Linked DNA regions of Rattus norvegicus. The protein of the gene in region 1 interacts with the protein of each later gene in a pairwise test. Links are inferred from orthologs where the notes say so. Each region holds a gene or a part of one and is shown in the gene's direction. Other genes may lie near its edges.

The links.
Region 2: the proteins of Egfr (region 1) and Grap2 interact in binary tests that used the Homo sapiens proteins (3 or more experiments, as listed by UniProt). The link is inferred for Rattus norvegicus from reciprocal best matches to the Homo sapiens genes EGFR and GRAP2.
Region 3: the proteins of Egfr (region 1) and Csk interact in a protein complementation assay, tested with the Homo sapiens proteins (3 studies listed by BioGRID and IntAct, with this or other methods). The link is inferred for Rattus norvegicus from reciprocal best matches to the Homo sapiens genes EGFR and CSK.
Region 4: the proteins of Egfr (region 1) and Itk interact in a protein complementation assay, tested with the Homo sapiens proteins (3 studies listed by BioGRID and IntAct, with this or other methods). The link is inferred for Rattus norvegicus from reciprocal best matches to the Homo sapiens genes EGFR and ITK.
Region 5: the proteins of Egfr (region 1) and Ctnnd1 interact in binary tests that used the Homo sapiens proteins (3 or more experiments, as listed by UniProt). The link is inferred for Rattus norvegicus from reciprocal best matches to the Homo sapiens genes EGFR and CTNND1.
Region 6: the proteins of Egfr (region 1) and Snca interact in a protein complementation assay, tested with the Homo sapiens proteins (3 studies listed by BioGRID and IntAct, with this or other methods). The link is inferred for Rattus norvegicus from reciprocal best matches to the Homo sapiens genes EGFR and SNCA.
Region 7: the proteins of Egfr (region 1) and Urod interact in a protein complementation assay, tested with the Homo sapiens proteins (2 studies listed by BioGRID and IntAct). The link is inferred for Rattus norvegicus from reciprocal best matches to the Homo sapiens genes EGFR and UROD.

The regions. Positions count from the first base shown.
Region 1 is NC_086032.1:95,504,126-95,507,625, forward strand, and holds part of Egfr (epidermal growth factor receptor isoform 1 precursor), read left to right. Parts: intron 1-1,401; coding exon 1,402-1,601; intron 1,602-3,500. UniProt on the Homo sapiens protein: Receptor tyrosine kinase binding ligands of the EGF family and activating several signaling cascades to convert extracellular cues into appropriate cellular responses.
Region 2 is NC_086025.1:113,996,225-114,000,155, forward strand, and holds the start of Grap2 (GRB2-related adapter protein 2), read left to right. Parts: upstream 1-1,131; 5' UTR 1,132-1,244; intron 1,245-3,931. UniProt on the Homo sapiens protein: Interacts with SLP-76 to regulate NF-AT activation. Binds to tyrosine-phosphorylated shc.
Region 3 is NC_086026.1:66,927,475-66,931,745, reverse strand, and holds the start of Csk (tyrosine-protein kinase CSK), read left to right. Parts: upstream 1-1,471; 5' UTR 1,472-1,518; coding exon 1,519-1,533; intron 1,534-1,859; coding exon 1,860-1,973; intron 1,974-2,085; coding exon 2,086-2,198; intron 2,199-2,487; coding exon 2,488-2,707; intron 2,708-3,496; coding exon 3,497-3,590; intron 3,591-3,783; coding exon 3,784-3,849; intron 3,850-3,929; coding exon 3,930-4,029; intron 4,030-4,121; coding exon 4,122-4,212; intron 4,213-4,271. UniProt on the Homo sapiens protein: Non-receptor tyrosine-protein kinase that plays an important role in the regulation of cell growth, differentiation, migration and immune response.
Region 4 is NC_086028.1:31,313,205-31,317,135, reverse strand, and holds the start of Itk (tyrosine-protein kinase ITK/TSK), read left to right. Parts: upstream 1-1,131; 5' UTR 1,132-1,221; coding exon 1,222-1,359; intron 1,360-3,931. UniProt on the Homo sapiens protein: Tyrosine kinase that plays an essential role in regulation of the adaptive immune response. Regulates the development, function and differentiation of conventional T-cells and nonconventional NKT-cells.
Region 5 is NC_086021.1:90,096,190-90,099,689, reverse strand, and holds part of Ctnnd1 (catenin delta-1), read left to right. Parts: intron 1-476; coding exon 477-669; intron 670-1,126; coding exon 1,127-1,241; intron 1,242-1,773; coding exon 1,774-1,861; intron 1,862-3,500. UniProt on the Homo sapiens protein: Key regulator of cell-cell adhesion that associates with and regulates the cell adhesion properties of both C-, E- and N-cadherins, being critical for their surface stability.
Region 6 is NC_086022.1:91,025,974-91,029,144, reverse strand, and holds the end of Snca (alpha-synuclein), read left to right. Parts: intron 1-1,058; coding exon 1,059-1,142; intron 1,143-2,075; coding exon 2,076-2,108; 3' UTR 2,109-2,671; downstream 2,672-3,171. UniProt on the Homo sapiens protein: Neuronal protein that plays several roles in synaptic activity such as regulation of synaptic vesicle trafficking and subsequent neurotransmitter release.
Region 7 is NC_086023.1:135,702,581-135,706,700, reverse strand, and holds the start of Urod (uroporphyrinogen decarboxylase), read left to right. Parts: upstream 1-1,320; 5' UTR 1,321-1,357; coding exon 1,358-1,377; intron 1,378-2,008; coding exon 2,009-2,121; intron 2,122-2,242; coding exon 2,243-2,322; intron 2,323-2,399; coding exon 2,400-2,462; intron 2,463-2,660; exon of another isoform or gene 2,661-2,692; coding exon 2,693-2,890; intron 2,891-2,989; coding exon 2,990-3,151; intron 3,152-3,911; coding exon 3,912-4,049; intron 4,050-4,120. Other genes in the region: E3 ubiquitin-protein ligase HECTD3, read right to left, coding at 1-161. UniProt on the Homo sapiens protein: Catalyzes the sequential decarboxylation of the four acetate side chains of uroporphyrinogen to form coproporphyrinogen and participates in the fifth step in the heme biosynthetic pathway.

The DNA.
Region 1 (3,500 bases):
TTCCACTGATATCGTGGAATATTTAACAAGTCAAAGCACCGCACACACGGGATATACATCGCTGCCCATAAACTCCTTTAGATAGACACTTCCGATACTAAGCATACTGTTACTTTTGCTTCCTGCCTTTGCTCTCAGATTCTCGGGAATGCTCTCTTTCTGGGGTTAGCACCCTGTGTCAAGCGGCCGCACAGGAGCCTTGTGCTTAGTTTTAAGCACTTAAGTTCAGGGATGACTAGTTCCTGAGGTGACTCTCGAAAGACTGGGGCTTGACCTGGAAGAAAGAGCCCAGGCAGACCCTGACTCCTTGGCTTCTCTGGGCATATGTTCGAGGAGAATTGCCAGTAAGTGATGGTGGTGGTTCTCCTACCCCAAACCTCTCACTTTCCTGAAAACAGGCTGTGAGGAGAGATGATTCATGAAGCAGGGAAATGGGAATAAAGCATGACTAGGAGGAGGACCTGCCAAACAGTGCTTTAAGCTTTGTTCTTTAACTCCTCAGCTTCTGTTCTCTTTCTTTTGTCCTGTCTCAGCTGGCTCACTCCTCAGGCTGGTGTCAAGAAGATTCCTACAAATACACACCACTTCTATGTGTGTGTCCATCCATCACATGTGACTATTTATGCCCAGCTGTGCTCTGACCTCACCCATCGGTCCCAGCTCTGTCTCCCTGCCCTCCCCGAGTGCACACATCCTATGGTTTGGGATTCCATTCTCTCTTAATCTGACCAACTCTCATCCAGACTCATACCTGCAGAATCTTATAAGCTCTGCTTTCTGGGTCTCGGATATGAACTATGCTTGGAGAAAGTCACCCTCCCATGCTTTTCCTCCATGGCGCTCCTGAAATATTTATTTACCCTGGGCTGACATAGTGCTCACTAAAACTGCATTTATTTCTATGTATTCAAACAGCTCTGCCTGTATGATTATATCATCTTTAGACAGTTTCCCTGAATAAAGAGACAAATATTTAATGTGTGGCATTGTGGAACCACAGATATTCGTTCAATAAACATGACTGGGGAGCTGAGTGGTGGATAGGTGGACAGATACTAGTATTGACTTACAGTGGGTTTGGATGTTGCCTAGAAAGCATGTTCTTGATTTCTAGGAAAACTATAAATATAGTAAATGAAATGACATGAAGCCATTGATTCAGCCCTCCAGTTTAGCCAAGGTTAAAGATAAGTGAATGAGAAACTGTCTTTTCCTTGAAGAAATCTAAAAAACAATAGTACTTACATTTTTTAAAAGTTGTGATTCACACTTTTCACAGAATGATTAGTAATAACTGGCACACAGTGTTCAGGAAACTTTGGTGGCCCAGAAAAACTAAATTATGACCCATTGCTTTCGCTGTCACACACAATACAATTTTTCTTCTCCTCCCCCTTTTAGTGGTCAGTTTTCTCTGGCGGTTGTCGGCCTGAACATAACATCGCTGGGGTTGCGTTCCCTCAAGGAGATCAGTGATGGGGATGTGATTATTTCTGGGAACCGAAATTTGTGCTACGCAAACACTATAAACTGGAAAAAACTCTTCGGGACGCCCAATCAAAAGACCAAAATCATGAACAACAGAGCTGAAAAGGACTGCAGTAAGTTTCTGTCCCATCTCGCCTACACAGGGAGTTCCCAGAGGTGGTTTGTTTTGGGAAGAAACACTGAAGAGGTTCTCCCCAAATGTTCTAATGGCTCTTTTTCATTCCCTCGTTGAATTAAAATCCGCGGGGTTCGTAACTGTAGCATCAGCATCCAAATCACTTCTGGAATGCTCTCATCTCATAGGGTGAATTTGCCTTGTGTGGCTTCAGTGTGAAAAGCCCTCCCAGGCTCATGAGTCTGAGTCCCTAACTGTGCTCTTTGGAAAGGTTGTGGGACCTTTACAAGGTGAATCTTCCCTAGAGGGAGTCCAGCTTGAGGGCTCCACATCCTGTGTATTCTCTGCTTCCTATTGTGTCAGTGAGATCACATGTTCCTTCTTATGTCCATTGGCATGCTTTCCCTGCCATGATTGACCGAACCCCTTCTTAAACTGTAAATCAGAACGACCCCGTCTCTCCTTAGGTTGCTCTTGTCCGGTATTTGGTTGCAGTAATGAGAAAAGCAGTAAAGAAAATCAATGCCAAGCAGGGGAGCCTTGGCTTTGATGGATTTGAGGATGTGGTTCTTAGACCTTTGGGGCTAGCTTGTGGGAGGAATGTTCCCCACAAAGTTTGGAACTTTGAGAAAGCTCAAGAATTTTGTAAGCACTGCTCAAAAGGCCATCCTGGTGGGAGTTTGGAAAACCATAATGCTGACAGAAATATGAACGGTAGAAACCTGCTTCATCAGATTTCAGAGGAGAACAAAGACACTATTAGAAAATGAGCTAGAGGCCATTTGTGATGTATTATGGTAATGAATCTGACTGCATTCTGCCTATGTCCTGAGAATGTAGGTCATTAGAAAGCAATGACCTAATTTGATTGGTGGAGGATATCTCAAAACAGAAAGAATAACACTCAGGCTGTACCATGGCTCCTACTCACTGCTCTTATCCAGGTCTACAGCATGCTGGAGAAGAAAGTGGACAGTGACATAGGACAGTGTGCAGTTTGTTAGGCAAAGGAGAGAATTTAAAGTTGTACGTAGATCAGGTGCTGAGGAAGCAATTATAACAGTAAAGATATTAACACGTTAAAAAGAAGCCTTGTGTAATCACACGGGGACAATAGAAAAAAAAGCGCCCTGAGGGTAAGACCCCACCCACCAAAAGGTGCATCTTGTGGGAACATACATTCACTTGAAAGAAGAGCACCAAGACTGAGAATTCTGCTGAAGAGATTGCCTGCTTCTGGAGGCCAGGGTAGATCTTTAACTGGCCACTGAAATGGGCAGCCTCATCCACAGGGTACTGGTTTCATACACATGAAAGATACAAGGATGAAGGGGGCCATGCAAGCCTTTGGCAAGATTACAGAAAGCCAGTCAAGCCAGGTGCTCTTTGGCAGGCTTAGGGTGGTGGAATGAGGCTGTGTGAGCCTATAAAGATGGACTTGAGTTGCCATGGACACGCTAGGATTTTAAAGATGACAGGACAATGGAATGCCTGCTAAGGAAGACTGCAGGTGTGGCATAGAGCAGGCCAAACAGCTACCTCTTCCACACTGCAAGGGACAGACCTGGAAGGACAGAATTACAAAGACATGGATAATTCTTCAGTAGTTCTGCTGGGTCTCAGTTTTGCTTTGATCCAGACTCTCTGCTGTGTACTGATTCTACTCATTGAGTGGGAATGTTTACCATGTGCCATTTTTTCCATTTTTTTTAATCTTTATTAACTTGAGTATTTCTTATTTACATTTCGAGTGTTATTCCCTTTCCCAGGTTCCGGGCCAACATCCCCCTAACCCGTACCCCTCCCCTTCTATATAGTTATTCCCCTCCCCATCCTCCCCCCATTACCACCCTCCCCCCAACAATCTAGTTCACTGGGGGTTCAGTCTTAGCAGGAC
Region 2 (3,931 bases), on another chromosome or scaffold:
AAGAAATTCTTATCTCAAAAACACTAAAAATAAAATAAAATAGATTTTAGAAATCATTTAAAGAAGCAATGAGAAGCCACCACAGAAAGCAGGAATGAAGATTAAGTCAGGATTTCAGAACTTCAAATTGAATCAAATAGAGAAATCTATCCCAAGATTAAAGCCAGTGGCATCCCAAAATGTCCCTCTTCACCCTGGGTCCCCCCTCCAAACTCTAAAGGCCTTGCTTAGCCAGTTGAAATATGCCTCCTTTTTGTGCAAAAGATACAAGAACAAAGAGAAAGGAAGACACAGGCTTGAACAGGCTGCAGGTGGTATGGGGGCAGGGCGAGTAAGAAATGTGAAGGTGAGAACTAGGGAAGTTGAGGGAGATGATGAGTCTTAAATTGTCAGAGAACCTTGGGTCCAGCTTGCTCAAGAGAATGTGAAGTCCACACAGGTCCAAGAAAAGACCCTCGCACATGACGGTGGCAAACCTGGACTTAGAACCCCTGCCTCATCCGCTTGTTAACTCAGTGTGCGTCCCTAACCCAACTCCTGGCTTAGAGAGTCTCCCACCCCTTTTCTTCCTTCTCTCTTGGGTCAAGATTTGTATCACAAGCTAAGAGTTAGGTAAATAGGCTGGAGACACTGAGCAAGCGACTTCTCTGAGATTTTAACTAATCATAAATTGATCAGGGAGACTTTAACTTTTTCCCAGATGCCTTTGCGTTTCTCTGGATGGAGGGATGTGAAGACAGGTTTTTTTTTTTTTTCTTGAGGCCAGTAGCCTCTTGGACCATATCCAAAATCAGAAGTTTTCTTATGCAAATGCGAGCGTTGAGGGCAGGCGGGTTTTGTTAAAACTGAAACATAAAGGACCATGCATGTTTCGGTGAACCTCCTGCATTTTGGTTCGACTCTAGCAGCAAGAAAACAAAACCACACAATCTAAGGCTCACGCCCAGCTCTGCGCAGCAGGGTGTCTGCTAGTTCCTGTGTGGTTTGCCTGCAGACTGCAGACGGGCTGGGGGTAGCTTGGAGGGAGAGCAAGAGGCAGGGAGGAGGAAGCTGTATTGATGGATCTGGGGCTTGTGCCCTGCTTCCGTGTGGTGCTCAGAAGCCAGCTCAAGACAGACCTGTAGGCTGAGGCGGCGCGGTAAACTTGACATTTGAGTGCATCTTCCCACCGGCAAAAGACGAACCTAATAACTCGTTGTCAAAGCCGAGATACACACTCAACTCAGGCTCTTCGCTTCCCAAAGGTATGTCATGCACCGTGGGTGCACACCCTCTGGAAACCTTGAGCGCTTTAAAGATTCTGCTCTCTATAAGCCAAATCTAATGAAAGCTGGCCCTACTGGTTTTTCTAAACTTCAGCTCAACCGTCTAGGTTTCTCATCTCGCTGACTTACGTTAGCGGGGATTGGATTCAACTTCTGTCAAATGAACTAGAGAAAACTTGGTCTTTACTCGACTCACAGAAAAGAAAAACAGCCTTTCCACTAACTGGCTTCAGAGCCGTCTCTGGAAAAGACTTTGGAGGTTGAGGTCCCAGAGATCTCTCTTCAATAGTGAGGTTGAGGAGCAGGAGGTAGCAGCAGGGGTTTGAGCATCCGTGAATAGAACTCTGAGGCCAGGAGCTCTCTCTCTCTTGCTCAATTTCTTCACCAACTCAAACTGCTAGTTCTGGTGGCATTTGCTGTCTTTAAGAACACTGGTTTGGGTGCCTTTAATAAGAGGAAACTTCACGCGGGAAGGTATGAGGAGAGGGTGTTGTCTATCTTTGTCTCTTTATTAATAGTTATGCGGCGTCTTTAAGGCCGTCTCTCGTCTCTGCTCCTGTTCCCATCTGCTTCAGGACACGAGGAAGGAACGAACTCAAAGACCAGGTTTTCACTAACTTAACCATGACCGCATCCACTCACCTCAAAGGCAGCCTTGTTAATCCGGCATATGTACCAATTCGTATGTCATCAGAAGTGCACACCCAGAGGCAAATTAAAGGGGGCTACTTGGCACCTAAAGCACCACAGGGATAAAGCAGTTATAAGCACACGTTGTCGGCAGCCGAGAAACGTCAGTGGAAGAGTCTTGCGTATGGGCACGTTTATTATAAACTGTTACTTTGTTATCCGGTCCCATCTTCATTTTTGGTTTCAGAAAGAACGTTTGGTTTAATTTGGTCTCTTCTAGTGAGTGACTCAACATGACCTACAAAGTTTGATATTCATAGTATAATGTTAGAGAGGTCCTCTTGAAAAAGCAGCCACTTTTAAGTAGCGTCTTCCCACCCCACCCCCACCCCCAAGACAGGGTTTCTCTGTGTAGCCCTGGCTGTCCTGGAACTCGCTCTCACTCTGTAGAGCAGGCTGGCCTCGAACTCACAGAGCTCCTCCTGCAAGTAGTATATTTCAATGCCAAGTTCTAAAAACTTCTGACTTATCCCCTTTTTGAGATTTTTTTGTGTTTTGTGTTTTGTAAAAGGAGGTAGCCCCACATCACTGAAGAAAATGCCCTATTAAACTCAACTCAGAGAGTCTCCCACATAGTAAACTGTAATCTTATTCTCCCTAAATTGTAATGGCTTTTGTCTTTTTAAAAATGACTTTACTGAAGCTGAGGGGAAAGAGGTGACCGATCTATTCAATATGAAGAAATGCCTTTGCTTCTAATAGTAGCTTCCATGTCTTAGACCTTCAGTTGTTTTATACCTGCCTCATAGGGACACTGTAAGAATACAAGAGTTAACATAAATACCATGTACCTTAGGGAAAGGCACTGTGAAAACTCATGATGGGAGTATTATTATTTCTCTAAATCTTAACCATTTTCCTTCCCATCTCTTGTACCAAACGCGTCTCTCTTGCTGCCCAGAGCCTGCTCTTTTGGAACCACTGCCTTCTGGAAGAGCTGCCAGTGATTTCCATGGGTCTGTTGATTCCCAGTGATTTCCATGGGTCTGTTGATTCCCAGTGATTTCCATGTCTGTTAATTCCCAAAGAACAGCACCTGCTGGTGTTGGCAGCTTAAAGAGCTCAGGCCTGAACTTGAGCAAAGTGTGCCCCTCTTCCTGGCTCTAAAAAAGTCTATAATTGTTCACAAATATGTCATTAAGCGCGATTCCATCGGGGTTTCTTTACTGAGCAACAGTTGCCGCCGGGTCAATCCAAGAGGCAGAATCTTGGAGCTGCCGTGAAGCAAGCTCAAACCCTGTTGAAGTGGGGCAGCCAGGTAGTTCGGTAAGGAAAGATGCAAATCCAACACCGTGAGTTCAGTCCCTGGGACACACACGGAAGAAAGAAAGAAAGAAAGAAAGAAAGAAAGAAAGAAAGAAAGAAAGAAAGAAGCAAGCCCTACAAGGTGTTCTCTGACATAGCATCCATGCCGTAGCATATGATGCACACGTAAAGAATAAATAATATAAAATCATAGTAAGCAAATATTTTTAAAAGTTCAAGGGTAGTCACAGTGTAGTTATTGAACCAAAGGGTAGGGTAGGTGAGCCTCGTGTTGTACAACTGAAGTCTTCACTCCGCACATCTCCATACAAAGAGGCACCTCAATTCCATGTGCATCTGCCTGTTTTCTTCATTGTTATATTTTTATAGCATTGGAGAATTTTCAGGAAATCACAGCTCCGTTCAACAGACATTTCACTAACATTTATTGAGCAACTGCTTTGTGCCAATACTTGCACTTGGGCGCCAAGGTCTCTAACCAAGTTCACAATGGGTTCCAAGAGACTCGAGCCAATAAGAATTCAGTAAATAACGTTTTAAAGTCGTTTTCTTTTTAGGTATACGAGCACAGTCCAGAGTTTTAGAGAATTTAATAAAACTACAGCAGGATCCACAACGATAGAGACCATCTTTGCTCTTCGAAGATGTTAAGCATGCATCTCATGAAGAAAGTGAGTTTACGTACAGATTTAAGCAGGGCCTGGAGGCCC
Region 3 (4,271 bases), on another chromosome or scaffold:
AGAACCAGGAGTCCTGCTCAGGAGTTACTTTCCCCTGCTCTCTCTACCCTTGCTTCTGGAGGACTCTGGGAGTGTGTGCTCCCTGAAGAAGTTCCCCAAGCGTATCCCCCTCAGAGTCCAACCATAGCGCTTCACAGGGAAGCTCCTTGCTACCCTACAGTGTTCATGCCAGGGCCACTGGAGCCCTTCTCATACGGCAGACAGACAAGGGTGCTTGGGATAGGCTCAGCAAGTCGAGGGTCACAGAGGCCCAGATTGATTCAGCCTTGCTTCATCAGCTTCTACCCAGGCCAGTTCTTCCTTCCTTCCTTCCTTCCTTCCTTCCTTCCTTCCTTCCTTCCTTCCTTCCTCCCTCCCTCCCTCCCTCCCTCCCTTCCTTCATTCATTCATTCATTCATTCATTTTTATGTGTGTTGGTGTTTTGTGTGCATGTATCTAATAGAAGCTAATATCCTAATATCTAATAGAAGCTAATATCCTAATATCTAATAGAAGCTAATATCCTAATATCCTAAGCTTCTCTATGTCATTTTTTCTGGCCATTTTCTTTTAAAACAAGTTTTTAACCATATAGCTTAGGCTGGCCTCCAACTAGCCATCCCTCTGCCTCACCCTCTTCCCTCTGCTTTTCTAACAAATATTTATTTGCTTGATTGCTCATGGATTTAAAACGTACAGATCCATACCTTGTACTAGAGTTTGAACCTAGAGCCTTGTTGAGCATTCCAGGGAACCACCATTCACTAAGGTCAATCCCTGGCTCCCATCCTCTACCTTTTGAAGTCTTAAGGGCTCAGCTTCTGTGCTTCCTGCATATGTGTGTGCGTGCAGGTGTGCATGCACTTGCTCATATATAACAGCACTCACGCTGAAAGTCCTCTTCCATTCGTAGTATACATAGCTATAAAGTAAAGGCTAGACCTCACCTGTCCCATCTCAGGTGGGCCTGCCATCTAACCGTGTGATCACAGAAGGGCCCTGCCTGCCTTGTGTGACTTCTCCCTACCTTGTCTACTTTATTTTCAGCACTTGGGCAGTTCCTGATCTGCCAGTTACTATAAAGCACACCAGGGAGAGCACCTGCCCCTCCTGGTAGACACGGGCTCTTTTCTGTTGGGTGTGTGCTGAGAAGGAAACACAGACATTTGTCTGTATAGAGGCCTCAGGACAAGCTTTCCTGGACCACATAGCACCTGCCCGGTTTCAGAGTTTCCCTGGACTTCCTCCCCTCTAGTCTTCCCGGCCTCGTTGGCCTTCTTGGTCATTCTGTGGGGCCTGTAAGGACTGGTAGGCACCCCTCTGGGACTCTTAGGTCTGTGTGTGTCTACCTGAGGCTGGTTAGAACAGCCCAGGACCCACATGTCACGGACCACGGCTTGCACTCCTTTAAGGAAGAAGTGATGATCACAGTCAGGGTGGGGGTCATCTCATCTTCAACTTGATTCTTTTCCCGCAGCTCTAATGGTACCAAGTAACAGACCGGCCTTCCTGTAGCACGGGGACGCCAGATCTCAGAAGATGTCGGCTATACAGGTATCGTGAGGCTGTGGTCCCATGTCTTGCCCTCCCCAGGCCAGACAAAGAATAGGTACTAAGAGCAGCTTGTTCCAACCATGCCCAACCCTCCATCCCAGTCAGGACTTTGTGTGAAGTAACACTAATTCCAGTGTGCTCTGTCGGGCACAGGGCCCCAGAGAGGGCTACAGAGGAATTTGAGCTAGAAGGGCTGAGAACTCTCTGGAGAAGTTATCTCCCCAGGTTCATGGAGGTTAGCTAAGATGCTTTGGTCTCAGGGGCATTCGGGCAGGTTGGTAGAGAAGCTCCCCAGGCTGCACCGACACCTGTCCCTTATCCTCTAGGCCTCCTGGCCATCCGGTACAGAATGTATTGCCAAGTACAACTTCCATGGCACTGCCGAGCAAGACCTTCCCTTCTGCAAAGGAGATGTGCTCACCATTGTGGCTGTCACCAAGGTACTTGGGACCTACGATGCCTGTCCCATCACCTCCAGGGGTTTCTTCTGGGTTTGGTTGCTTGGCCGAGGGAGGCAGGCCTCAGAGTGTGTCTGTGTTGTTCTCTCTCCAGGACCCCAACTGGTACAAAGCCAAAAACAAAGTGGGCCGTGAGGGCATCATCCCAGCCAACTATGTCCAGAAGCGTGAGGGTGTGAAGGCAGGCACCAAGCTCAGCCTTATGCCGTGAGTACCAAGAGGACGGAGGGCTGCAGTCTCCTGGTTTGGGGGAAAGAGGAAATGGCAGTGGTCCTCCTGGAAAGGCATCAGAGCAAAACAGCCCTGAGTTAGGGCTGTGAGGTGAGGGCGTTCTAGGGATGGGGCCAGAGGCTGGAGCTAATGGATGCAGAAGGAAAAAAGGGGTACAGGAAGAAGATGACGCCCTTAGATTGGGAGTTCTGGGAAGGTGTGTGCAGGAGGCTGGCGGAAGCTTCCGGGTCAGCACCCTGGTGACGCCCAGCCTTGCCACCCGTAGCTGGTTCCACGGCAAGATCACACGGGAGCAGGCGGAGCGGCTTCTCTACCCACCAGAGACAGGCCTGTTCCTGGTGCGGGAAAGCACCAACTACCCTGGGGACTACACACTGTGTGTGAGCTGTGAAGGCAAGGTGGAGCACTACCGCATCATGTATCACGCGAGCAAGCTGAGCATTGATGAGGAGGTGTACTTCGAGAACCTCATGCAGCTGGTGGAGGTGAGTGGGGAACATGCCTGCCCGGGGTGAGCCCCCTTCTCGTACACTCGCGCCTGAGTCTACCTGAGGACACTTAGGACAAACCCAGACCCAGCTCACCTGGCAGGGTGACCTGGACATGTTGATGGCTTCTTTGAGTCTGAGGTTCCTCACATGTGTGGAGCACCACCTGTGTGAGAGAGCTCAGTTCTGTCCCCAAAGGCCCACAAATAGGGTGGTATCCCCATTTTATAGATAAGGACACAAAGGTTCAGATCAGTGAAGGTCCCCTCATCTGTGCAGGGGAAGCACTCGTGTGATCCGGAACTCACTTCTTCCAGCACTCAGAGCCTCTGGGTTGCACACTGCCGTCAGGATCCTTGAGACTCACAGGTCCTTGATGCTTCCAACAGCAGCTCCACCCAGCTCTGGCCAGGCCATATCTGGCATCAGATACCTATAGGTTCCCTCCAAGCTCGTTCTCATCTCTGGCTTACATTGGCCCTGAGTACACCTGGTAGAGGCTGGTATAGGGAGCAGGCAGGTTTTGCTATCTACCTTGAGATATTGGTGAGGCCCAAAGCAGTAGTGGCAGTTGGGAGTCCAGGAGCTGAGTGTGGATAGGGCGATGTGGGAAATGGACAGGCATTATACCCTTCTCGAAATGAGGAACCCTCTCCGCACAAAGCAGCTCAAGGTTGTGTGGAATGGCCTCTGCTGCCCTCTGGTGGTCAGACCTGAACAGTGCGTGGGTCAATGAGAAATGGGGCCCAGTAGGTCTGGTTCTGAGGGCCTGCCCCACCTCTGCAGCACTACACCACAGATGCCGACGGACTCTGCACTCGCCTCATCAAACCAAAGGTCATGGAGGGCACAGTGGCGGCCCAAGATGAATTCTACCGCAGTGAGTGCACAATGTCTCCGATCTCCCACTTGCCCACTTCCCCTCACCCGGGCCCTCTGCCCTTACCCTAGAGGCTTGGAAACCCCAGACACCCACATCTAAAACAGTTTAGCCTGTGCCTATCATCTCAAGTGCTTCAGATTAGCTGTTCACTTCCCTGACACACCGCCTCCCTCCTGGTCCCTGTCCCCAGGTGGCTGGGCCCTGAACATGAAGGAACTGAAGCTGCTACAGACGATAGGAAAGGGGGAGTTTGGAGGTGAGTTGAGGGAGTGGGGGTGGGGGGATGAGGTGGGGGAGCCCCAAGAGTCCAGGAAACAACCCCTGCTTCTCCCACAGATGTGATGCTGGGGGATTACCGAGGCAACAAAGTTGCAGTCAAGTGCATTAAGAATGATGCTACAGCCCAGGCCTTCCTGGCTGAAGCCTCTGTCATGACGTGAGTTGGGCTGGACATAAGAGCAGGCCGCCTGGGTGGAGTGTGGCGGGGGATGGGCAAGCTGAACTCTTGACCACCCTGTCCTGCCACAGGCAGCTTCGGCACAGCAACCTAGTCCAGCTACTGGGTGTGATTGTGGAGGAGAAGGGTGGGCTCTACATCGTCACAGAGTACATGGCCAAGGTAGGTGCTCCTCAGCCTCAACCTGCCTGTCCCACAGCCCCTCCACTCTGCCCCTGCTG
Region 4 (3,931 bases), on another chromosome or scaffold:
AAATAGGTGAGGAAAATCTGAAAGGCTTCCCAGAGAAGGGTGCATGCTAGCTGAGGCTGGCAGTATCACTTAGGCATTCACCAGAAAAGAAAGAGACAAAAGAATTCATTCAGACACAGGACACCCCATTTGTGAAGTGGCATACCCAGAAGACTGACAGGACACCCCAGAAGCCAGGCAAAGGTGTCAAAAGGGGGCCCTGCAGTACCGCATCTCAAGCCCCCATTGCTTCCTTTCATGGACGAAGGAAATGATGTTCAAAGCCACTGACTGGGCAGATGGTAGGTGGTAGGGATGGAATTCAAACCGATAGGTAGAACAAGCAGCTCTGAGCAGATCTCTCCATGCCCTCATCCCCACAACCAGTGACTGTGTGAGGTTGGGTGACAAAGGGGAATTTACACTCCAAGTGGAGTTGCAGTGCCCATCTACTGACCTTAATATAGGGATCCTGTCCTAGATGACTATTGTGAGATGGGCCCAGAGTGGTTCTCAGGATGATTAAATGGAGCAGAGGTAGGAGGAAGAGGTTTCGGCAATATGGAGCAAGCAAAACTTGGCCTGCAGTTTTGGGGGTTGAAGATGGAGAAAAAGAGTAAAGATTGAGGACACCAGGGTGTCCCTCAGGAGGTAGGATAGTCCTAGAGGCAGTATCCCCTAGAGACCTGCCAGAAAGGAACACAGTCCCACAGTCACCATGATTGTCACTCAACCAGACACATTTCAGACTTCTAAACTAGAGAATTGTAAGGTAACCCCATGGTGCTTTGAGCCACTAAGCCTGTGGGAATCCCTAATAAAACAATGGGAAACTTACATACAAGCTGAGCTCCACTGAATCCTGGACCCCATCTCTTACTCCCTTGTCTACATGACTTAACTGTTGCAGAGGCTAATCCAGGAGCTTTAAGAATTAAAATGGAACTCCTCTTATAAGTCTAAATTTCTTCAACCCTCATTTCCAAACCATGTAACTAAGGGTACGCATGTGCCTCTTAGCTCGGTGAATTTTGAAAGGATGTGGTCGTGGCCTTTGACATCAGAGAAGGGAGCTCAGCGGTGAGGCTGGCTGATGCTGATAGAAAAGATAAGGCTAGAGGCAAGTTGCCTTTGAACGACTCTCTAAAGATCAACTGCATCCTGTCGCGTTCCCAGCCGTTCCTCTCCTTCAGTCGAACTCAGGGGTGATGCCCGAGGCGCCTCACCTTTCAGAACTGGACCATGAACAACTTCATCCTCCTGGAAGAACAGCTGATCAAGAAGTCCCAACAGAAGAGAAGGACTTCTCCCTCGAATTTTAAAGTCCGTTTCTTCGTCTTAACGAAAGCCAGCCTGGCATACTTCGAGGACCGCCACGGGGTATGAGAACACTTACTTTGTGCTTTGTTTATTTGCCATTCTGTGTTTGGACTGAGTTGATTCATGGGATAAACTTGGACGCCTGGAATATAGGCACAGTGTGCTTAGCAGCCACAAAAGAGACTGTACCAAATGCAGAGAGTCCTGAGACTCCAGTTGTTTAGACTTGGCTATCTCAGTTCTACAACCTGTAGGTTTGACCTTCATCCATTTCTCTTCTCCACGCGGTCATGTTTAATTTTTTTAAGCATAGAAATATCTTACATGGTGAATGTTGTGGACAGAGCTTTATGCAAAAGTGAAGTATATGGCATTTACAGTCTGTAGGGCGGTAAAATATTCATTATTGTTGGTGATTAGTACATAAGGGGCAGCCTAGCCCAACCTCCCTGTCTTACAAAAGAAATGCTTCTTAGAGTGGTGAACGGGAGGTCCCATGTTAGGTTTTTATGACTTGAACTCTCTTCGTCTCAGTGGTCATCAGTCCCCCGAGGCCATGGGATCATGCTTCCATTCATGTAATATTCTAAAGTTGTAGGGCACATGGTAACCCTCTTCATGGCAGAACATCTCAGGAGACAAAGGGTGTAGAACCCAAAGTTTCTGCCAGCAGACCAGGGATCCCTGCTAGAGGGTCTCTGGCTACTCAGCTAGTTGTATCTAATGACATCTTCATGAACAGAAGCAACAACAAAAGCAAATGAGTGTGTGTGAGTAATACAGTGTGATAGAAGCACTGGGTGGTGCCAGGAGCTCAGCCCTAGGTGAAGTCTTTTCTGAAGCAGCCAAGGGCCAAGAGCATCAGCAGGGGCAAGACTTGGTCTTGCAAGAGAATAGGGTTGCTTTCTAAAGTAGCCTATGTCCATCTTGACAACATTGTTACTCTGAGACTACAGAAGCTACAGGCCTCTGGATCTATTGACACTTGTTGCTTACAGTGAGGGGGATTAGGTAAAGGATTATTGCTATAGCACCGTTCTCTGACCTGATATATACATTCACACATATATTTACATTTCATTCACATTCCTATTTACACATTAACACATTCACGTTTTTGTTGGACCCAATCACCTGTCTCAGACACTCCACAAGTATTCATGCATGCTTACATACACACATATACTTACACACATACATATAGACAAACATATACATTTGGATAGATGGGTGGATGGAGCAGAGCCCTCCAAGCTAAACTATCCAACTAACCACTTTATTTCTTTTCTCTGGCTTTTTTTTATACTTTCTCAGACAAAAAGTTCTTTTAGAAAATTGCCTCAGAGATAAAATGTTACATAAAATGGGAGTTTCAGAAGAATGCTGACATTTAAGTTCAAAGGAATGTTTCATTCGATGAGCTCCTTATAAGTTCAAAGCAACAGTTTTTACATGGCCTTGCCTTATCATAGTGCACACCTGTGGTTGTATCCTTGGACCTACATGTTTTTCCTTGAACACGAAATCTGTCCCAAGTTTATTTCTCTTTTTAGTGTAATTCTAAAAGCTCATTGTATTTCTTATTATGCAGCCTATACTTACTATTCTGCGGAGTGGGAACATTCTATTCTTGATTCTAATCTTACTACAAGTTTCTAGCAAAACAAGTAAGACCATCTCTTCAAACTTTCTTCCTAACATTATTTTATTCAAATCAGGAATTCTATAGAATCACTCATTCATCTAAACAGCATTAATTCATGAGAGTTCACCTTTATGTTGATCCGCAGGAAATCTGATCAATAGGGTGGGCTAATGCCTAGAGACTATCAATTGAATAATGACAGGAAAGGCATATCAACTGCAAGAAGCAATCCTGAGATGAAGTCTCTTTGGGACCCTGCCATCCAGCTCACCCATTGCACATCATGCAACAAAACAGCGGCCCACCTCTGGGAATGCCACCTGATAGCCTTAGCCTAACCTAGATGGCTCCTGACAGGGTCGGAGTCAAGTAGTCCCTGTGTCAGTGAGTCGCCCTGGGCAAATATCCTTCTCCGTCAGACTTAACCTTCGTAAGTACACAGACTAGACATCAATCCCAAGTCCCACTCTTTCTTTTAGAACCTTTTTGTTTGTACACAGTGGCTCTTGGTTAATCCTCCTCAAGTACTTTTCAACGCTTGTTTGATTTCTTGTCATATCACTGTAGTATGTTTACATCTTTTGAGAGGCAGGGCAAAGATGGGTTTTAGCTTGGTGCTCACCAAGGCAAGGATGCTTCTGTTCCTTGCTGGTGTCTCACTAGATCCACGTGAGGATTTTCATCAACTTGGAGCAAATCACTTGGAGGGGGTAAAATGCCTCACCTTTTAAGTTTCAGGTAAAATAATGCCGCCTCTCTGTACTTTTGCAGTGAAGAGAACCACTTGTCTTCAGCAGGGTCTCACTGATAGCTTACTAATAGATTAGAGGCAGATAGAATGACATACATTTAGGTCCCATTGGTCAGCGGCCAGGTGCCGAGCTGTGGGCCTGAAGGATTAATAAATCACCTGTCATCAACTCTGTTTCTGTGAATGGAACATGAAATTCGTGTTTCACAATGAAAGCAAAGCACCTTTAAATAACT
Region 5 (3,500 bases), on another chromosome or scaffold:
AAAGCAAGAAGTGATGATTCTTCCAAAACATTATAACCATTATTATTTGTTGAATATCTGTTTTCTCTATCTCTAGGCATTGTTAAGAATTTTTCTTTTCTTTTCTTTTTTTTTTTTTTTTCATTTGCCCAGAATTGAACTAGTTAGTGGCAGAGCCCAAGTAGTTGAATTTTTTTAAATTCATAAAGAATGCTTTGCCCCACAGATTATCATAAGATAGTACTGAATGTACTGTTTTCATTACTGTGTCTGGAAAGACCAGACTATATTTGATATCCAGCATCTCATTGTCTGTGTGCTCTTGAGGAAATAGATGAATGGCAGTGAGTTTATGGCTGTCTCATGTTCTTGCCCCCTTTGAAATAATCTTAGTAATAATGGAGTTAATTTGTATGACTAGAACTTAACACTTGGCCTGATTACTACTCTCAAGTGTATTGTGAGGCTCCTTCTGACCTTTTGTTTTACTGCTATAGGCAAACATGCTATTCCTAACTTGGTAAAGAATCTGCCAGGAGGTCAACAGAACTCCTCCTGGAATTTCTCTGAAGACACCGTGGTCTCTATATTGAACACCATCAACGAAGTTATTGCTGAGAACTTGGAAGCCGCCAAAAAGCTTCGAGAGACCCAGGGTATTGAGAAGCTGGTGTTGATCAACAAATCAGGGTGAGCTTTTTCTTAATCACAGCTAAGAGAATTTGAGTTTGAAGAAGAGTTTTTAGAAAATAACTTTTCTCTTCCATTCTGTGAGATTACTTCTTCCTATAACATGTGGAGAGATATTGCTCTATTTTCATTCTTAGTGTCGGTCTGTAAATTGGTATGGACTGTTACATCAAAGTAGTTTATGTCAGTGTTTCATACAGTATAAGAGTTGGTGAAATTTGGCTTCACCCATTTTTACATTTTTATATCCTTGTGCTGTTAGAGCAGTAGTTTTCAACCTGTGGGTGTCAAGTTATGAAGTAGCTATAAATATAATTTTATGTCTGGGGTCACCATAACGTGAGGAACTAACTATATGCAGCATTAGGAAGGTTGAAAACCACTTTGTTAGAGAGTAAAAGTTCTGAGATCCCTGGTCTGAAAACTAAACTTTGTATGGTGTTACTTTCCTTCATAGGAATCGCTCAGAAAAAGAAGTCCGGGCAGCAGCTCTTGTCCTGCAGACAATCTGGGGCTATAAGGAGCTTCGGAAGCCACTGGAAAAAGAGGGGTGGAAGAAATCAGACTTCCAGGTGCAATAACTCTCGACTGAAGCTTTGACTTTTCTTCTCTTTTGTTCCTTGGCTAGTGCCTCTGTCTTTGGTTAGATTGTAAAGACTTGCCACACTACTTTTTAATCCAGTTTATTATAAACTGTGGTGCTCACAGTTTATTTTTGCTGAAGTAGTTCTTCTCTCTCAGTGTTGAACATACAGTAGATGCTGTTGGTAGAGAGCAGTGATAATGTATGGCCACTGTGAGCTTCCTGTCTACTCAGACCCTTCATGTGCTTACTGTTCTCTGCTCCCTCTAGCTCTGTCCTCCAAGTACTAGCAGTGTAGGTATGCACTACTGCCTAGACTCAGTCTTTTCTGAGGAGTTACTGTCAGTAGGCACCTAGCATCTAAGCCCTTCAGGAAGAATGTGTGAGGGCTAAGGCAGGTGAGCATGGGGAAGGAAACCCATGCTCTTTCAGGGTTCCTGAAGTGGGAGGTACATGGTTAGGAGAAGGGGCCAGGAATCTCTCCAGGTTTCTATGACACTGGGTTTTATGTTTGTCTCTAGGTGAATCTAAACAATGCATCTAGAAGCCAGAGCAGCCATTCATATGATGATAGCACTCTCCCCCTCATTGACCGGAACCAAAAATCAGGTATTATAACCAAGGGGTGCAGCTTTCTCTGTTTAGTGCTCCTGGCATTCTTTAATGGCTTATTAACTGAGAAATAGGATATGTGTTTATTTCTAATTAAGCTAGATGCCGAGTGTGGGAGTAATGCTTTGCATCCGGATTGTACTGTGTAAGAGAATAGGTTTGAATTTAGAAATCAAACAGGTGTGGTGGTGCACACTTGTAATCCCAGCCAGCACTCTGAGGTGGCAAAAGGAGGGTCAGTAATAGGTCAAGGCCAACCTTGGCTACATGACACTCTGTCTCAAGGGAAAGTAAAACCAAAATCAAGGTAGTTAGTAGCGTGAAGTGCGGCTTTTTTTTTTTTTTTTTTTTTTCTGTCACAAATAAACTTTTATCAGGGAACTGGGGCAGGGTGATCAGAGAAGGACCTGAAGTGGGAAAGAGGAAAGGAAAGGGGGTGGCTGGGTGGCTGGTTGGTTAGAGTGTCCTAAAGGACAACCACCTCCAGCCACCGAGTGTGGCTTCTTTAATTTGCCTGCGAACTTCAAGTTACTAGAGGGTGAATCAGTTTTCTGTTTAATCTCTCTCTTAAATTTCTGTTCTACTGGGGTTGGGGATTTAGCTCAGTGGTAGAGCGCTTGCCTAGGAAGTGCAAGGCCCTGGGTTCGGTCCCCAGCTCCGATACTTATTAATGTGCTTGGTTAATTATTAGTGCTTTTCTAGTTGGAAAAAATAAAAACTACTGACAACCAGAAAGTCCATTATTTCTAGTCCCTAGAGAAAACACCACCGCTATAGCTCTGTGTGTGTGTGATTGTGTTTTTGTGTTGCTGTGGTACTGGGGACTGAATCCATGTCTTTCTTGGCAAGTTTTTTTTTGTGTGTGTGTTCCCTGAGGTAGAGCTTTTTAAACCACTTTATCATAGATGAATTATATATTTAGTATTTTATATATTTGTTTCACTAAAAGTATGTACCGTAACCTTTCTTATCTTACGGCTTTTACCTTTTGATTCCACCCATGGCTTTTGGAGCATGGCGTGAGAGCCCCAAGATTCTTGGACATATGCACTGATGACATAAAAGCAGCGCGTGCTGCCGGGGCCAACACAGATGGAGATGGTGACACTGACCTGAACTAGTTGGGTTTACTCCCATGCACTCCTCAGTTAAAAAGCCATCTCCATTTAGGAGCATCCTTGATGGAGCTGTAATATTTTATTATATTTCTACCCTAAGTACACATCCCCTAGATGTGTAGTGTTAATGAGGAAATGTGAAGCTCTTGTGCTGCGCCACAGGGAGCCACTGTGATTATCTTGAGGCAGACTACTGGTATTACTAATTAGACTAGCCAGTTTTTATAGAGTACTATTTTACTTAATGAAGTAGCTGACACACAAGTGATGATTATTTCAACATGGTTATTTGGCAAGCATTCCCTCAGAAATAAACACAGAAACTTTATTACTTTGTTGAAAAAACTGACAGTATTTGCTACCTGAGTGAAAAATATAATTCTGGCTGAGTGTAGTGTCTCATCCCAGCACTTGGAAGGCTAAGGCAGGAAGATTGCCCTTCATTTAAAGCCAGCATGGGCTACATAGGGGGTTCAAGGCCAGCCTGAGCTGTAGAATAAGACCCTGCCCCCTGAAAA
Region 6 (3,171 bases), on another chromosome or scaffold:
CAAATTAGCCCATTTAGGCTCCAGTTACATCTCTGTTCTTTGAATATTTGCTGAACTCTATCATTCAGTAATTACTTTGGTGGAACAAACGGGAAAGAACAAAAAGGCCTTTGATGGAGAAAACAAAGAAGGCACATCATGTCAGACTGAATGCTATGATGTCAGCACTGTGGAGAGATAATCTGAAATTTTGTCCAATCTAATCTTTGGCTTCTTTTTTAACTTCAAGTATGTATAATTTCCAGATTTCCAAAGAGAACTATTTCTTTGGGAGCATTTATAAATGAATTTATTGGAGCCAGAAATATAGCTTAGTCATTAAGAGCATATGTTTTTCTTCCAGGGGACCCAAGTTTATGTTCTAGCATCTGTATGGAGAATCACAATTGTCTACAGCTCAAGCTTCTGGGAATGTGATGCTTTCTTCTGCCCTCTGTTTTCACCACACATGCATAGTGCACAGACCTACACACAGGGCAAATATCCCTACACATAAAATAAAATAAAACAATGAATTACAAAACACATGGACTTTGCCTTAACAAATTTAGGGAAAACCATAATGATGTGTCTGTATATTAGTTCCACTTTCTTGGAACATTTTTACTTTCGGATTCAAGTGTTGTGTGGATTCTGTCCACAAACAATGTCCTGTTAAACATTACACCAAAATTAAGTCGTCCCTATTAGAGAATTATCATGATTTCAGAAAAAAATAGAATATTTTGCCATTATTTGATTCATCATTACCAGTTCACTACAAATCATTGCTACTATAACATTGTGCTCATGGAGAGAACTTAGGGTCTTTTGCTTTGCAACTTCCTGGGTAATGAGTTACTTGGGCAAAAGCTTTGAAAGCTTCAGATTGGTAACCCATGTTTGCATGATGTTTTTCTCTGGTGGTTTGGTACAGTTTGGCTCGGTAATTCTGAAGAATGCACTTCTGAGAACACTTCTTGTAGCGCCTTGAAGGTATACCTGACATAATTTTTTTTCAAGTTATGCTTCAGTAGTGAAAACACTATCTTACTGTGCTTTCACTTCCCTGTCTGTAGGGTGAAGAAGGGTACCCACAAGAGGGAATCCTGGAAGACATGCCTGTGGACCCTAGCAGTGAGGCTTATGAAATGCCTTCAGAGGTAAATGCTTACAAACAGAAAACCAAGAAAAATACCCTTAGGTATTTTCTTAGGTACCTTCAGAGGTAAATGCCTATGTGCAACACTCAGCCACTATCACATCTCCCTCATATTATGGTTTGGGTAGTTCAATCATAAAAAGGGTTTTGAGAAAATGATTTTAATCTTTGTGGAAGAGAGTAAGGGATATGGCAGGTCAAAGGAAGAACATTTTAGAACATTCTAGCACAAGAGGTTACCAGAAACAAAGGCATATGAAAATGCCTGAGCAACAATGGGCAGTTATGAATCATGTTTAGAAAACATAAAATATGATAGATTAAGGCTGAAGACATAATTAAGGTTATAGACAAACTGTAGAGTCCCAAATTAACTTTGTCATTTAAGTTTATATTGACATTTGAAAAAGAGTTTGATAATAGGTTTAGTTTAACAGTAGAATCCTGATATAATCAATTAATTGAGGAAGTACCATTCCTGTTATGAATGTTACCTAGATTTTGTCCAGGAGGCTCAGGCTTTAGAATAAATGAGCCTGTGTGGAAACCTCTCATGAAGGTGGGGTTTCCTAATGGGGGAGAAAGGAGAAGGATGAGCTCTGGAGGAGGCTTTATGCAGCTCACCTAGGTGTTCACGGCTCACAACGCAGAGCAAAGGAGAAAATCAGAGCCCCAGCCAATTCATACTGCAGCACGAAATCACAGATCAAAGGATATATCTAGAATTAGGCCTAATAATCTGTGATGACCCCTATAACGTACAGATGCTACGTATGGAAAAACCAATACATGTTCATGACAGATAAGCCCCAAACACTGAGCTGAGGATCAATTTTATCTGATTGAAAGGCTGAGCCCTCCCTCCTGTGAAGCAGACAGTTGATAACTGTCACTTCACTGACAAGGCATGCTCTTATTTTTTTCCTGATATTAGGAAGGCTACCAAGACTATGAGCCTGAAGCCTAAGAATGTCGTTGTACCCACTGTCCTAAGATCTGCCCAGGTGTTCTTCCATGGCGTACAAGTGCTCAGTTCCAACGTGCCCAGTCATGACCTTTTCTCAAAGCTGTACAGTGTATTTCAAAGTCTTCCATCAGCAGTGATCGGAGTCCTGTACCTGCCCCTCAGCATCCCGGTGCTCCCCTCTCACTACAGTGAATACATGGTAGCAGGCTCTTGTGTGCTGTGGATATTGTTGTGGCTTCAAACCTAAAATGTTAGAAGAAACTTAAAACACCTAAGTGACTACCACTTATTTCTAACTCTTCACCGTTTTTTGTTGCTGTTCTCAAGAAGTTGTGATTTGCTATAAGACTTTTAGATGTCCTTAATGATTCTTTCTGTCTAAGAAGAATGATGTGCTGTGAAATTTGTTAATATATATTTTAAAATATGTGAGCATGAGACTATGCACCTATAAATATTAATTTATGAATTTTACAGTTTTGTGACGTGTTTTATTAACTTGTGTTTGTATATAAATGGTGGAAATTAAAATAAAATAAAACATTATCTCATTGCAAAACCTTTTTCCTGTTTCACTTTAGTAACAAAATCATGCGTATCAGGAGCATGAACATGAAATAACAGCTGACAAAATGAACTAGAATGTAAAGTCTTAACACTATCTTGAAGAATTGGGAAGTGTTAGAGATGGAACTCTCTCCTGCAGGAGGAATTCTCCAGTGCCATTGCCCACAGCCAGCTTGATATACAGTCCTGCTCAGAGCTGTGGGAGCACTGAGAAACACTTCATTGGAACTGAAAGGTGTGAGGGATAGCGACTACAGCCCTTTTACATATTCATAAGACATATTAGCATATCCAAGGCAGGCTGTGGAAGAACCTGCTTAATTTATTGCATGTACACATGTGTGTGTGTGTGTGTGTGTGTGTGTGTGTGTGTGTGTGTGTGTGTGTGTGTAAGGAAGAACTCAGGAAGTACCTTTCCCATTCCCCATCCCTCCTCCACCTGTTTCTATGAATGTGCTCCCATTCACACCCACCCACTCACACCTCAACACCCTGG
Region 7 (4,120 bases), on another chromosome or scaffold:
TCCTTGTAAAGCTTGTAGAGCACCTCTCGCGGCACGAAAGCCAGCGCCGCAGGCAGTGGCAGCCCGGCCCGGAGGCTCCGCGCCGCCTCGGCCAGGAAGCGCACGCGACCCAGGAGCTGTCGCGGGGACTCAAGCGCTGCGCCGGGGCCCGGGCCGGCCATAGTGAAGCCCGTGAAGTGAGACTCGTCCAGGGAAACCCTGCCCCGCCGCAGCCCGGGGACTGCAAGCAGAGCTTCCCACCACACCCTGCCCCACCTCACACCCTACTTTACCGTATGTTTTGGATTAAATGCACAACCTATTGCTACCAAATTTGTCAGGTGTACTCTGATAGTCCCTATTTTGTGACTCGCTCCCCTCACCACCCCTTCCGCCCTGACCCTGGCTTATCAAATCAGACTCAAAACTAGATTCTTAAGGTAAGGTCTCATTATGTAGCCCAGGCTGATCTCGAGCTCGCGATCCTCTAACTAGAGCTAGTGCTACTACCCTTGTTCAAGCCTTTATTCCATCTACTCTGATGCTTTGGCCTCATGTTTTTCTCTCCCTGTCCCTAACAAACATTACATTTGAAGGAATCTTTTTGTTGTGTTGTACTGTTTTGTTGAGACAGGGTTTCTCTGTGTAGCTTTGATTGTACTGGAACTCACTTTGTAGACCAGATTGACCTCAAACTTAAAAGATCCTCGCACCTCTACCATCCGACTGCTGGGATTAAAAGCGTGAGCTACCACACCAGACTTGAGAAATCTCATAAAAATTGCTCAACTATCTGTCTTAGGGGGCGCATGACTGACTAAATGTTCAGTCACTGACAGAAATGTATAAATCACTCTGGATGGACGCTATTTGTTGCTTCTAATTCCAGAAGACTAATAATCATTGCCCACTTAAATGTGATTGTCAAGTTTTGGTTTAAACGATTGGTAGAGCAGTCCCTGTCTTGAGCAGCACTCTATCATTCCTACAAATTGGTTAGTAATGTACATGTGGACTCTAAAATCTTCGGCTCCTTTACAACCTTCTGCACCGTTCATTTGCCAAACAACATTGTTAGACTTATGAACGGGAGTGAGAGCGAGGCCTGTGCTAAGTCTTCAGTATTTCTAGACCACAGATGAGAAAAGTTTAAATTTTCCTTTGGGTCATTTGTTACTGCGTCGCCACAGTGGACTTTACGGTGAAAAATTGATGGGGTCCTACGGGCAGCGGGGAAGGCAGCCCCACAGCTGTCACTGGTCTGGTCACGTGGTTCTCAATATGGCGCCGCCCGTGGTTCTCTTCAGGAAGGGGCGGGGCCTGGACTGTAGGGGCGGAGACTCAGATTAAAGCGGTGACCGCTCAGTTACTGTTTACCATGGAGGCGAACGGCTTGGGGTGAGTTTTCTGTTGCACGCGCTGTAGCTACGTTGCTTTCCGATCCGAGTCTTCCAATTCAGGGATATGTCCTTAAACTCTTATTTTTCTGGAGATCTCCAAGCACCAACCCAAGTCGCGGAGATTCCATATCTTCCAATCATGGAACGGAACCTTTTCGTTCCCTGCCCCCCCCCCCCCCCTCTTCCCGCAATCTCCATTCCACGGACTACTTTGCGGGACTGCATTCCAAGACTTCCTTTCTAGGTGACTCAGAACTAACTAGCACCTGGGACCATCAGCTTTGATCCTTTCTCTCTTGGTTTGGGGACCTCAGCTTCAGAAGCTTGCCTGAAATTAACTCCCTTTCCCCAAACTTCCTTACTGGATTTTCTTTCCACTTCCCTAGTACCTCCAGTTTCTTTGAGTTTGGGAAAGTGGACAAATGTGTAGGAAAGAGGCCCTAGTGGGGCCCTTCTCCTGGAAACTTGTGTGCAACTTGATAGAGGGGAGGAGCTGTGGGTGGGGAGCCATGGTTTGCAAGCAGGCCTGGAGGAGGCAGATAGCGGCCTGACTGAACCCACGCCTTCCCCAAACCACGGTCTAGCATAATGACATTTACTCCTACCTGTACATTCCATCTCATCCGCAGACTCCAGAATTTCCCGGAGCTGAAGAATGACACGTTCTTGAGAGCAGCCTGGGGAGAGGAAACAGACTATACTCCTGTTTGGTGCATGAGACAAGCAGGCCGCTACTTACCAGGTCAGGGGTAAAGGTGTGGTCTAGATAAAACCTGAAAATCTAGTTGGTGAAATTCTTCAGGGGAAGATGGTAACTTTGGAAGACCTCATGGTTGAGTCCTGTTCTCCATCTCCTCTTGTAGAGTTTAGGGAAACCAGGGCTGCCCAGGACTTCTTCAGCACCTGTCGATCTCCTGAGGCTTGCTGTGAACTGACTCTGCAGGTGAGGGCCTCACAAATGAGGGTGGGGTTTATGCCCTCAGTGGGTGGCCTTACTAACCTATTTGCTATTCCCTGCAGCCACTGCGAAGGTTTCCTCTGGATGCTGCTATAATTTTCTCTGACATCCTTGTTGTACCCCAGGTACTCAATCCTAATCCTGGAATGTGGGCTTTAAAAAAGGGGGAGAGAGGAATGCACTTATTGCAAATCCTCTGTCCTATCAGGTTTCAAGATAATTTCAGAAGTGGGAAGAGGAAAACACTAGGAATGGAGTTTACAGGGGGTTCAGCCTTTTCTTTGTTGCATGTGTTGAACAGAACCCTTCCCTCTGAGTTCCAGGTTGTGTACCCAGATATTTTATCCCCCTTAAGGCACTGGGCATGGAGGTGACCATGGTACCTGGCAAAGGACCCAGCTTTCCAGAGCCATTAAGAGAAGAGCGGGACTTAGAGCGTCTACGGGATCCAGCAGCAGTGGCTTCAGAGTTAGGCTATGTGTTCCAAGCCATCACCCTTACCCGACAACAGCTGGCTGGACGTGTGCCACTGATTGGCTTTGCTGGTGCTCCGGTAATGTGGCACAGGGGTGTGGACGGGAGCATGAAGAGATCAGGCTAGGTCTGGAATAGACAAAGAATTCTATGTCCTGCCATCTGCATCTTTCTGCAGTGGACCCTGATGACGTACATGGTTGAAGGCGGCAGTTCAAGTACCATGGCTCAGGCCAAGCGATGGCTCTATCAGAAGCCACTGGCCAGTCACAAGCTGCTTGGCATACTCACTGATGCTCTGGTCCCATATCTAATAGGACAAGTAGCTGCTGGTGCTCAGGTGAGTCTTAGGGACAAATAGGTTGCAGCTTGGTCTATGAGGATCCAAGGCAATGGTTTCCTAAACTGGAGAAATGAGGGGTGTTACTTTTCCTCCAGTGATCTGGTTAGAGTATCTAAGTGGTTCTCAATCTTCCTGATACTGTCACCCTTTAATACAGTTCCTCACGGTGTGGTGACCCCAACTGTAAAATTACTTTGTTGCTACTTCATAGCTGTAACTTTGCTCTGTTGTGAATCGTAAACATCTGATTTGTAGGATATCTGATCTTTGTGAAAGGGTCAATCCACCCCAAAGGGGTTGTGACCCACAGGTTGAGAACCATTTAGATCCTTAGCCCTTCCTGAAGCTGTCAGCCAGACTTTAAGGTCTGAGTATTTGCAATGTAAAGTTGCTGTTAGGATCTGGAGAAGGTAAAACTTTTTTTTTTTTTTTTTGGATCCACCTGCTTCTGTCTCTTAACCAAGTGCTGGGGTTAAAGTCGTGTGTGCCACTACCTGTCTGTCTCTCTTCCCTTTCTTCCTTCCTTCTTTTCTTTTTTTTTGTTTGTTTGTTTCTCTTGTGTATCTTTGGCTGGTGTGCACAACCACTGCTGGCTTCTATTTTTTTCTTTAAGGCAAAACTTGTTGACTGGAATTGAGCTCCTAGCCTCGGGGAATGTGTCAGGGTTTAAAGTCACCTGAGGAGAATTACGCCATCACGTGTATGTGGAGCCTGAGGTGCTTCCTCTTTGTGTGTTTTTCTTATCACCTATTTACAGGCATTGCAGCTCTTTGAGTCCCACGCAGGACATCTTGGCTCCGAGCTCTTCAGCAAGTTTGCACTGCCTTACATCCGTGATGTGGCCAAGCGAGTGAAGGCTGGGTTGCAGAAGGCGGGCCTGGCACCAGTGCCCATGGTGAGGACTGGGACAGGCTGAGTGAAGGGTGCAGCTCTCAGCCTGCAGAGACTGAAATCACCACTTGAGGG